Linked DNA regions of Schizosaccharomyces pombe. Changing the gene in region 1 together with any one later gene gives a genetic interaction. Each region holds a gene or a part of one and is shown in the gene's direction. Other genes may lie near its edges.

Region 1 (3,243 bases):
TAAAAACTCAATCGTCTCGTGGGGGCTGGATACCCAAACAGTGGTAGCAGCAGCTCTCTTTGAATAGGTGGTTAGTAATCTTCAACAAAAGTTTATTTCAAACTTACCGCTTTATAATCATTGTTACCAGCTGACAAGAATTGATCACCAACATGCAGACAGCGAGAAGGATGGGAAATATTAAAAAAATGCTGAAGGCATAAAACACCCAATTTCTTGTCACCAATATCACACCAAATATCATTTCCACCATTGAAAGCAGTAAAAGGAACTGAGAAATTTCGTATCTGCAACGTTGCTTGTGTCTCCAAAACAGCTTCCTCCAGTTGCTCCCTTCTCAGTTTTTGACCAAGGGAAGGTACAAATCCAACTGATCTTTCTTTACGAACTATTTTTGCATCAATGTTAAGTCCTTGAATGCAAGAACGAAGAGTTTCTTCAGCAGTATCCAAAATTTCGAGAATCTCATCATGAGGCCATGTTTTCATCACGGGAAGCATCCATGAGTCAGCATCCACCCATTGTAAACCATGCAGTGGGTCATAAGCAAATAAGTAATTGCTCTCGCCTCCTAATACATGAAGTTTCCGTTTCTGCCCATCCTTCAAGTCGCTGTCTTCGATTGCCTGCAATAATCCTGAAAATCTATCAGTATACTCCTGGCCAGTACGACTGGGATAGCCAGCAGCAGTAAGAATGATGACATAGATCCCCCTCGAAAGTAACTGAATCAAACGGGATATAACAGGATTGTCAGGAAGCAAAGGCTGCCCATCTTCGTACAGAGTTACATCTCCATCAAAACTGACCATATCCAAGCCATTATCCGCAAGGTAATTCAATTGAGCACCTCCTAATATTGCCCTGACATCGTTAAAACTCGGTGCCACAAAGCTTCGTTTAGCTAGACAAAGCTTTGGTTCCAACGCGTACATAGCTTTCACTAATGGCAAAGGTGTCCAAAATATGGTGATCGATGGAACAAGCATCTTTAACTGGCTATAGGATCCACCTTCTGAAACTATTTGAACTATCAATGAGAAAGGTTAGAAAATTAAAAGAATGAAGGGGAAACTTACTATGAGCCTCAATAAGTTTTTCCACATCTCTTAAAATTACAGCGTAACGCTCAAGCGTTTCCTGCTCTTTTTCGCGCGTTACTAGTTTCTGTGAAGGGGTTCCTGCCTGTAAAACAAAAGGAACTGACAACAAACCTTTAATCCATTCAATAAAATCGTCCTTCCGATGTTGCTTTAACGCATACTCAACACGATATCTAGAAGCCATTGCCTAAACCTTTAATGACAAACACTTATTCAAAAAAAGAAATCTACACGAATGCAAGAAATTTGAAGGAAAGTATGTTAATTGAAAGAGAAAGGGTAAAAGTTGCTTTATTATGCTTTCCGAAACGATTCAAAAATGATTACGTTGAGAATTGTTATACTAGTATTAGCAGCGAGCACTATCACTCAAATACGTCTATCACAATTCCAAAAATTAGCTATAATTTATGAGCATTCTTAACAAAATTTTATAAAAGTATATAGTCCAGGTGTAACATGAGCCTTCTGAACTATTCTTCCTCTACACATTTCTAATCCGCGTTAAATAAGGAATTTTCTTTCATTAGTAAATTATAAACCTTTCTTGCTGCGCAGTTAAATTTGAAAGGTTCTATTCGCTTTTCATTAGCAGTAAAGTCAATAGTACATAGAAAAATTGCTAGATTAACAGAACTTTTGAAGCGAAACAGCAAGCAAATCGATATTTATTGCATTCACTAACTCTCTTTTGCGAAACATACAAGCAAATATATATTTTAAAAAAACACCATAAGAAATGTCTACAGCTGCTTCTGATTCAGGTGTTGAAAAACTCGTCGAGGAAAACAAAAGGGAAGAGGTGAAAAAGAATGAAGAAGAAAAAGAATTTGATTTAGGGTTAGAAGAAAATCCAGATTCTGTAAAAAAACCTCGCAAACGGTTGGCAAAATTTGATGAAGAAAGGTAAGAATTTGGTCGGTTTTCGGAAAATAATTATTGACCACTCGTTTTCCCTATTTAGATTGATTTCTGAAAATGGAATTCCAAAATTAAGGAAAATGATGCGCAAAGTTAAGTTAAAAGGAAAGGGTCATGAGGCAAAAGACTTAAAACAACTATTGGGAATGTATCATATATGGACTCATGAGTTATATCCAAGAGCCACGTTTGATGACTCAATATCGTATCTTAAAACTCTAGGAAAACACAGATCCGTCAAGGTTCGACGTCGTGGTTGGATTAATGAAATTGCTGTTGAAAATGGTTCGGACTCTAATGCTTCATTATTTACTGGTCCATCTTCCAATTCATTAGTGAATTTGACGAGCGGAGATCCATATGTTCAAGATACAGCTGATGATGCTTTTGTCGCCCAAGACAACGATACCCAATTAGAATAGTCACCATTAATGAATGATTGAGATGTTGTTGCAGCTTTGTTTATCAATATTAGTAATCATGATCATTTTTTGGGACTATTTTCAGCTACTTTTATTTGATGTAATGTTTAATTTATTCATTTTGTTTTATTTAAACGAACAATTGTAGCCTCTAACTCCGAAATTCAATAAACTATAGAACATCTAGACAAATGATTTCCATTCTACGAATTGACCAGTAAGCTTTGGATTGTTATTCAAGGCTAGAAAAGAAAGAGCTTTGGCGATGTCCTGAGGAGCCACAAGTTGACCGGATGTTTTAAGTTCTTTGAAAAAATTATGAGTATCTCCACCCATGGCTTCTTTATTGGAATCATTACGGATACTAACTTGCATAGGGGTATCAACAACTCCCGGACGTACTGCCACACTCATTATATCAGGCTCCTCGCTGCCAAGGTTCATGACTAGCATGTTGATGGCGGCCTTTGAGCAACAATATGCAGCCCACGCGGGAAAAACACGAACAGCAGCGCCAGAGGATACAATCACAATAGTACCCTTGGTTTTACGCAAATGCGGGATTGCATACTTCACTGTTTCAACCACACTGAAAAAGTTGATATCAAACAACTTACGCCATTCATTGATATCTGCATCAGCGATTTTGGCTATAGGTTCAAGGACACCTGCATTTAGAATAACCGAGTCCAATTTTCCAAACTTTTTAATAGCAGTTTCGATACTAGCTTTTCCAACCTCCGTAACGTCACCCTTCACGTGAACAAATGAGTCAGGATTTTGAATAAGCAAAGTTT
Region 2 (7,199 bases), on another chromosome or scaffold:
AATCTGACTTATCGTTGGGATTCCATGAAGATGGAATGGCTTTCGGCGTATTTGTTACATTGCCCTCCCTTGTCATGTCAAACTCTCGTAAATACTTCTCCCATTTCAGCCATCGTGGGTCACTTCTAAGCACATTTTCTCCGTAATTGGTTCCTTGTAAATACAAGGGGAGATTGTCGAAGTTAATCGGCTGTTTTTCAAGATTCTTTGGTGTACTAGTCATTCGCAGGTATGCTCTTGGTAGCATATAAACAGCCAGTTTTAGTAGCTTATTCAGCTATCAGTTTAAATGTTCAATTTTCTAATCAGTTTTTCTTTTGTAATTAAATACAAATCTTTTGTAATAATAATTGGTAAAACTCTTAAATTTTTAAATGACGTGTAAATTTCAGCAACTCTATAAAATGCTCTGAGACTGAAAAGATACTTCACTATACGGCTTCATAAGGATTAAAGGCTCAAAATTAGAAATACAAATATTAGGCTGTATATACAGTCCTATTACTAATCAGAAAAAAATTCAGGCACAACATAACATTGATACTTGTCTTGCGATAATACATAACACAATGACATTGAGAATCAATAATAATAAAATAGTATTATAATCTAACGGAAAGCTAAAAAAACGACTGCATTAACGGAATGCATTAAACAAGAATAGCTTTAATCGAGCATCATAATAACAACTTCAACTTCTGGAACTAAATAATGATAGACGGTCCTTAAAAAACCATTCGGTGGTTTTCAGGAGGTTGTGGCATTGCATGAAGGAATTGCTTAATCGATGAGATGAAATAATTTCAACTTCCATTATCAATGAAGAAAGTTTAACTAAAGACATTTTTTCAAGCATTGAATAGGAAAAGAAAATCCATATGACTAAACAGAAATGAAAATGAGTATGAAATAGACCGGCCTAACTAAATTTCATCGATTTCTTTATATCTCTGCATTAAAAGACGTTTGTACTCGATAGGGTCTTTACTCCACAATTCTGCAGCTCTAAGAATTGTTAATAATCAAAAAAGGTAAATGAGATATTTTCAACATACTGAGCATTCAAGGGAGAAGCATTGTTTGGCTCACCCAGCAGACTTTGTAGAGATAACAAAATTGTCTGTACGTTATAGACTGCTGACCATTTATCTTTTAAAATGTCTAAACATATGTTTCCACTCATATCGACATTGGGGTGCCACATTGGTGAAGTAAAAATGATAGTTGGAGGGGAATATGGGTAATTAGCTGGAAATGACATTGAAATTTTAAATTTCAATCCTTCATAGTACTATTTTCGTTACGTTAGTCGTATGAAAAAGAAGAAAGAAGAGTAGACAGTTATGAAAATGTAATGACAAAGATGTGTATTAATTTTCCATTAAAGTGCAGCTACAAGTAAGCACACCAAGCATTATTCATATACTTTAAATATTAAGCTTTCAAAATAAAAGTCATACCGTATCGCTTGGGCCGGTAATTGTGCCAGCCCAATGTAGCAGGTTAGAATCAGAATCTGGAAACGCACTAATTCCAGGAGTATTGGACATCTAGTCATAAAACCCTAGTTAATAACAAAGTAAAAAAGCTTATTACAAACCATTAAACTCATTAATTCGCTTCTCAATCTACAAATGCATTAGAGACTTTTTTCCTAAAAACTGTTTATTTTTTACCGTTTTGTAACGCTATGACCGTCAACAGCCATGCCAGCAGAAGAAGAGTTTTTAGAATTAGTATGAGGGTTCTGGTTTTGCATATCAGAATCCATTCCTCAAGTTGTTACTGTAGTTTCTCAATGAGTACGTGGTGGTAGGAGAGTAAGTTATAAACACAACACAACATGTGCTAATGTACACAAGTAAACGAAAACCGGATATCAAATTATAGTCCAATTTTATATCATTATATAGATTTAAAACTCATTTAAAAATTACCTTAATTTAATCTTTTCCAGTCTTTGATGATGTTAAGACTGTAAATAATACACATGCCAAAATTTGCAACATATGCTTGTGTTATATTATAATCTTCTTTCCCTTTACACCAAAGAATGGCTCAAAAATTAGATAACTTTCCTTACCATATTGGTAGAGAAATAGGTACTGGGGCTTTTGCTTCGTATGAATTTTGATTTGAAAAATACTATATACTAACTTAAGCAAGCGTCCGTTTATGTTACGATGATAATGCTAAAATATATGCTGTCAAATTTGTCAATAAAAAACATGCTACTAGTTGTATGAATGCAGGGGTATGGGCTAGAAGGATGGCTAGTGAAATACAACTTCACAAACTATGCAATGGACATAAAAATATCATTCATTTTTATAATACAGCAGAAAATCCCCAATGGAGATGGGTAGTACTTGAATTTGCTCAAGGTGGTGACTTATTTGACAAAATAGGTGGGTGCATGAACCTTTCGTTTTTACTAACGGACTTACAATTTAGAGCCTGATGTAGGTATTGATGAGGACGTCGCTCAGTTTTATTTTGCTCAACTTATGGAAGGTATTTCCTTCATGCACTCTAAAGGTGTCGCGCATCGAGACTTGAAACCTGAGAACATCCTTTTAGATTACAATGGTAACTTAAAGATTTCAGACTTCGGCTTTGCATCTTTATTTTCCTATAAAGGTAAAAGTAGGCTTTTGAATAGTCCAGTGGGTAGTCCACCATACGCTGCTCCAGAAATTACACAGCAGTATGATGGTTCAAAAGTTGATGTCTGGTCCTGCGGTATAATTCTTTTTGCTTTGTTATTAGGCAACACACCTTGGGATGAAGCAATTAGCAACACTGGTGACTACTTGCTTTATAAAAAACAATGTGAACGCCCGTCTTACCACCCATGGAACTTGTTGTCTCCAGGAGCCTATTGTAAGTCCTGACTGAAATTCCTTTAAACTAATGATCAGCGATTATCACCGGAATGCTTCGAAGTGATCCATTTAAGCGCTACTCTGTCAAACATGTTGTACAGCACCCATGGCTTACCTCAAGTACACCATTTCGAACTAAAAATGGGAATTGTGCCGATCCTGTAGCATTGGCATCAAGGCTCATGTTGAAACTTCGTATTGATTTAGATAAACCACGTCTTGCCTCATCTAGAGCATCTCAAAAGTAAGATCTTGCACAGTTGTTTCATATTTCTAACTCTTTCAATTAGCGATAGCGGTTTTTCAATGACACAGCCAGCTTTTAAAAAAAATGACCAAAAGGAGTTGGATCGTGTAGAAGTTTATGGCGCCTTATCCCAGCCAGTACAACTTAATAAAAATATTGACGTTACTGAAATCCTTGAAAAAGACCCCTCATTGAGTCAGTTTTGTGAGAATGAAGGTTTTATTAAAAGATTGGTATTATTTATTTAAACCTAAATTTTTTCTAACTATATGAAAAAGGCCAAAAAGGCTAAGAATTTCTACGAAATTTGTCCTCCTGAAAGACTCACTAGGTTTTATTCTAGGGCGTCGAGAGAAACCATTATAGATCATCTTTATGACAGTCTACGACTACTTGCAATCTCAGTGACTATGAAATATGTTCGAAATCAGACCATCCTTTATGTTAATTTACATGATAAACGGAAATGTCTCTTGCAAGGTGTTATTGAACTAACTAATTTAGGCCATAACTTAGAGCTTATAAACTTTATAAAGCGTAATGGGGATCCTCTTGAATGGAGAAAATTTTTTAAAGTATGTCTTTATCATAGGGATTTCATATACTAATCCATGTGAAAGAACGTTGTCAGTTCAATAGGGAAGCCGATTGTTCTTACAGATGTTTCACAAAATTAATTGCACATCTTTTGAAAGGTCGTGCCAGTTCGTTTGTAAAAGAAACCTGTTGTTTGACTTCGTTGTGAATTTATTTTCAATTTTGTGGTAGTACAAATGATATCCTAGGGAATAGGATTATTAACGCTTTGTCAAGCAAATATCAATGGTTGCGAATGCTGAAGATATATTATTAGCATAAGGATAGTTCTTCCGACTGGCCATGCCGTTTAATACATCATTGTACCCAATATTCTTTTCTCACAATTCTTTCTTCTTTTTCTCTTTTTTAGTGAGATATCTGACGGCTCATTTGATTTTAAAAGGGATAACTCTTCTGAAATAACTCTTTCAAACGATTCTAAAAGGTCTTCATTTTCTTGGTCGGAGTATAAAAACTCATCTTCTTTACAAAATAGTAAAAGGTTCTTTTTTGTGAATTCTTGTCTCTCTTTGGCTTCCAGGTAAGCATGCAAAGGAAAATGTGACATCGATGAACCAGTACTTATCAATGTAGTTATCCATAAAATATCGTCTGGAGTCTCTGCAGACATTAACATGTCTTCTCTTGTAGCCTCATCTACTTTTAAAAACTTCTTTCCGTGAAGTACTTCGGGAAGCTCTAAGAAACAGTTAAAGCCCTCACACACGATATGTAGCCAGCGATGATTTTCAGTAACAACGTATATATCCGAAGATTCAATTAAATGCATCCGGATGTCTCCTATTCTCTTTTCGGCTGCTACTTTGTGAACAGGTGTTAGTTCTCCTAAACTCACCTTTTCATTCACTAGTCGTTCTAATGCTTTCCATAGATATGTTTGGTGAGCAGGAGGATAAAGATCATATAGCATTAGCTGATGAGTTAATACCTTGATGTCCATTATCCCTTTAGACAACTTTAAGTGAAGCCTTTTAATACAGCTGTTCTTGTTTACAAGTGATAGCATATTTTCAAGGCAGCTATTAGTTATTTGAGGTTTCACTAATGTTTTTGATGTTCCATTTTTAGTATCGAAGACATTCATCAAGTTTTTATCTTCGTGCTCAAAGATGGTAATAGTTACTGTAGGTGGAAAAAAGGCTTTACTCTTGAATTGAACATCTTCGATACATATATCTAGGTTATCACAAAAGAAGTTTACCCAAGGAATTTCAGTAGAGCACATGTCTGATACTTGGGCAAATTTGCAAAAGCTTGGGGTAATAACCTTTTGGTCACTGAAAAGAAACTTTGTGCATTGCTGTGACAAGTCGAGGACCCTTTCATTATCTTTTTTTTCTTTTATTGTAGCCTGTTCGTTTCTAGAGCTTTTGGATTCGAGTACACTTTCATATTTCAATTCAGAATCATATATTGGCGATACTTCACTGGAAGCGATGAGGTCGGAATATATAATCTGTGTTTCTTCTAGGTCGGGAAATTCGGTAAAATCTTTTACTCCTTCTATTATGGCTTGTTCATTTTCAAAGCACTTAGATTCGAGTATATTTTCAATTGCTAATTCAGAATCATATATCGGCGATATTTCACTTAAAGTCGTGGATTCGGGATATAAAATCTGTGAAGATAGTGATAAGTCAGAAAGCTCAGAGCTCTGTTTTATATCTTTTAATTCAGCATTTTCTGAGTGGTTCGGTTTGTGGGTACCTTTAGGTGCTGATTTGGAATTATTAATTGGCGCCAATTTGCTCAAGGTTGTAAATCTACAGCTTAGAAGCTGTGGATACCGAGGCTTAAATATATCTTTATCTCCCGTATTGCTTTCTTTCAATAGTGCCCTCTTCGGTTGAGTTAAATGCGAAAATGCCTTTGTTGCTTTTATTGCGGATGTAACCTGACTAATGGAAGAATTTTCGTTAAATTTTTCAGGTTTTGTTTGGTATTTACGAGCTGCCAAATGTAATTTGATGTTACTATTCGTTGAAGATGATATTGATTCCTTTTTATTGTATGCAGCATTCCAGTATTGGGATAAACTTTTAAACGGCGAGCTATTAATAGTTGAAAGTTTCGTCTGGAGTTCTGATTCCATAAAAGAGGTGCCGCCCAATTGCAGTATACAAGCTATGAATGTTATTGGCTTGCTTACGCCGAGCTTGTCGAAAAGGTTATTAGCCTTTGAAGGATTTTGGTTTGAAGACTTATTTTCCTGTTGACTTAAGAAGCCTTCTTCATTTTTTTTTTTTAAAGTATAATTGTTCTCTATTGATTTTGGCTCAACTTGGGGTTCTAATGGCATTTCTGCCATGCTTTCATCGTTATCAGAACCCATACAGCAGAGAGGAGCGCAAATTTTTAGGATCTTTGATTTAAAACTTGTCCAAGAGCTACCAGAGCAGTGAGTATCACATCGGTTACTTTTTCCCTTTTCCTGTATTTTATCAGGACGAAAGGCACCTGATATTTTAATCTCTGGATAAGCAATTTTACTGTTCATTACGAAGTTACTTGGCTCTTTTGAGGCTTGAGTGATTGCCAGTTGGATAACTCAGTAATTAGAGATCGTGTTCAATCTCTTGAAGTGTATACAAAGGTTGGGTAAAACATGTTCAACCTTGGGTTATTTATATTAAAAAACAATTCATTTCGTTTATATTAACACATTGTTTTATCATAACTAATAATTTATGAAATCCCTCACAATAAACAAACATCGAATGATAATTTGATGCTCACCTAACATTTGCTTAAAAAAGTGTTAAGTAAACATTTAATATTACTAAAAGATGATCATTTAAAAATAAAAGCTTTCGCTAACCATTTGCATCCTGGATAAATAGCTCAAATAACAAAGGATTTAGATTAACTGAATAGTAATAATATCCTTAGCTAAGCCTTTGAACTAAGCCTAAATAAACAACACCAATTACTCACTATTTACAATGGATGTTTGACTTGTAACCAATAAGGAGGCAAGATTTACTAAAGACAACCAAGTATAATGTTGTAAACAAAAATAATAAACAAATCAACATTGCTGCAATTATACATTCGAAAAGAATCATTTAACGCAATTCTGAGTTAAAGGAAAATAATGTGTAAATAAACAAACGAAAAAGAGTGGAATACTAGCAACTGTAAATAAACAGAAGTTATTTTTTAGTGATCGAATTATATTGTATTTATGTTGTCAAAAGTTATTGATTCATGAATACCCCCGAAAATATCTTTCTGAAGTAAAAATTTCAGAAAATAGAAAGTGTTTTATTTTCGTTCGTATGTTAGTACGAATATCAAATTTCCAGTTTCATATTGCGTGACCAACACATTATTTATTAAAAATTTTGGACAAGCCAGAACTCGAATCTGGGACCTCTTCCATGCTAAGGAAGCGTGATAACCATCTACACCACATGCCCATGGTTGATTTTTACTCTATGTTAGTCGATTATTACTTCCTTTACTAT

The links.
Region 2: mutations in swi3 (region 1) and chk1 impair growth when combined (synthetic growth defect), as found in Schizosaccharomyces pombe (3 studies listed by BioGRID, with this or other methods).

Annotation. Positions count from the first base shown.
Region 1 is NC_003423.3:3,090,127-3,093,369, reverse strand, and holds swi3 (replication fork protection complex subunit Swi3), read left to right. Parts: upstream 1-1,513; 5' UTR 1,514-1,842; coding exon 1,843-2,009; exon of another isoform or gene 2,010-2,067; coding exon 2,068-2,446; 3' UTR 2,447-2,511; downstream 2,512-3,243. Other genes in the region: isn1 (IMP 5'-nucleotidase), read right to left, coding at 1-57, 108-1,030, 1,080-1,287; SPOM_SPBC30D10.05C (sepiapterin reductase), read right to left, coding at 2,630-3,243. UniProt on the Schizosaccharomyces pombe protein: Forms a fork protection complex (FPC) with swi1. FPC coordinates leading and lagging strand synthesis and moves with the replication fork. It is required for programmed fork-pausing which is necessary for mating-type switching.
Region 2 is NC_003421.2:1,057,967-1,065,165, forward strand, and holds chk1 (protein kinase Chk1), read left to right. Parts: upstream 1-1,829; 5' UTR 1,830-2,053; coding exon 2,054-2,121; intron 2,122-2,166; coding exon 2,167-2,408; exon of another isoform or gene 2,409-2,454; coding exon 2,455-2,883; exon of another isoform or gene 2,884-2,921; coding exon 2,922-3,129; exon of another isoform or gene 3,130-3,175; coding exon 3,176-3,365; intron 3,366-3,410; coding exon 3,411-3,707; exon of another isoform or gene 3,708-3,752; coding exon 3,753-3,809; 3' UTR 3,810-4,018; coding exon of another isoform or gene 4,019-6,229; 3' UTR 6,230-6,477; downstream 6,478-7,199. Other genes in the region: gid1 (putative Ran GTPase binding protein), read right to left, coding at 1-223; ubiquitin-conjugating enzyme E2-C Ubc11, read right to left, coding at 924-1,005, 1,056-1,291, 1,461-1,550, 1,601-1,628, 1,677-1,771; protein Meu27, read right to left, coding at 4,019-6,229.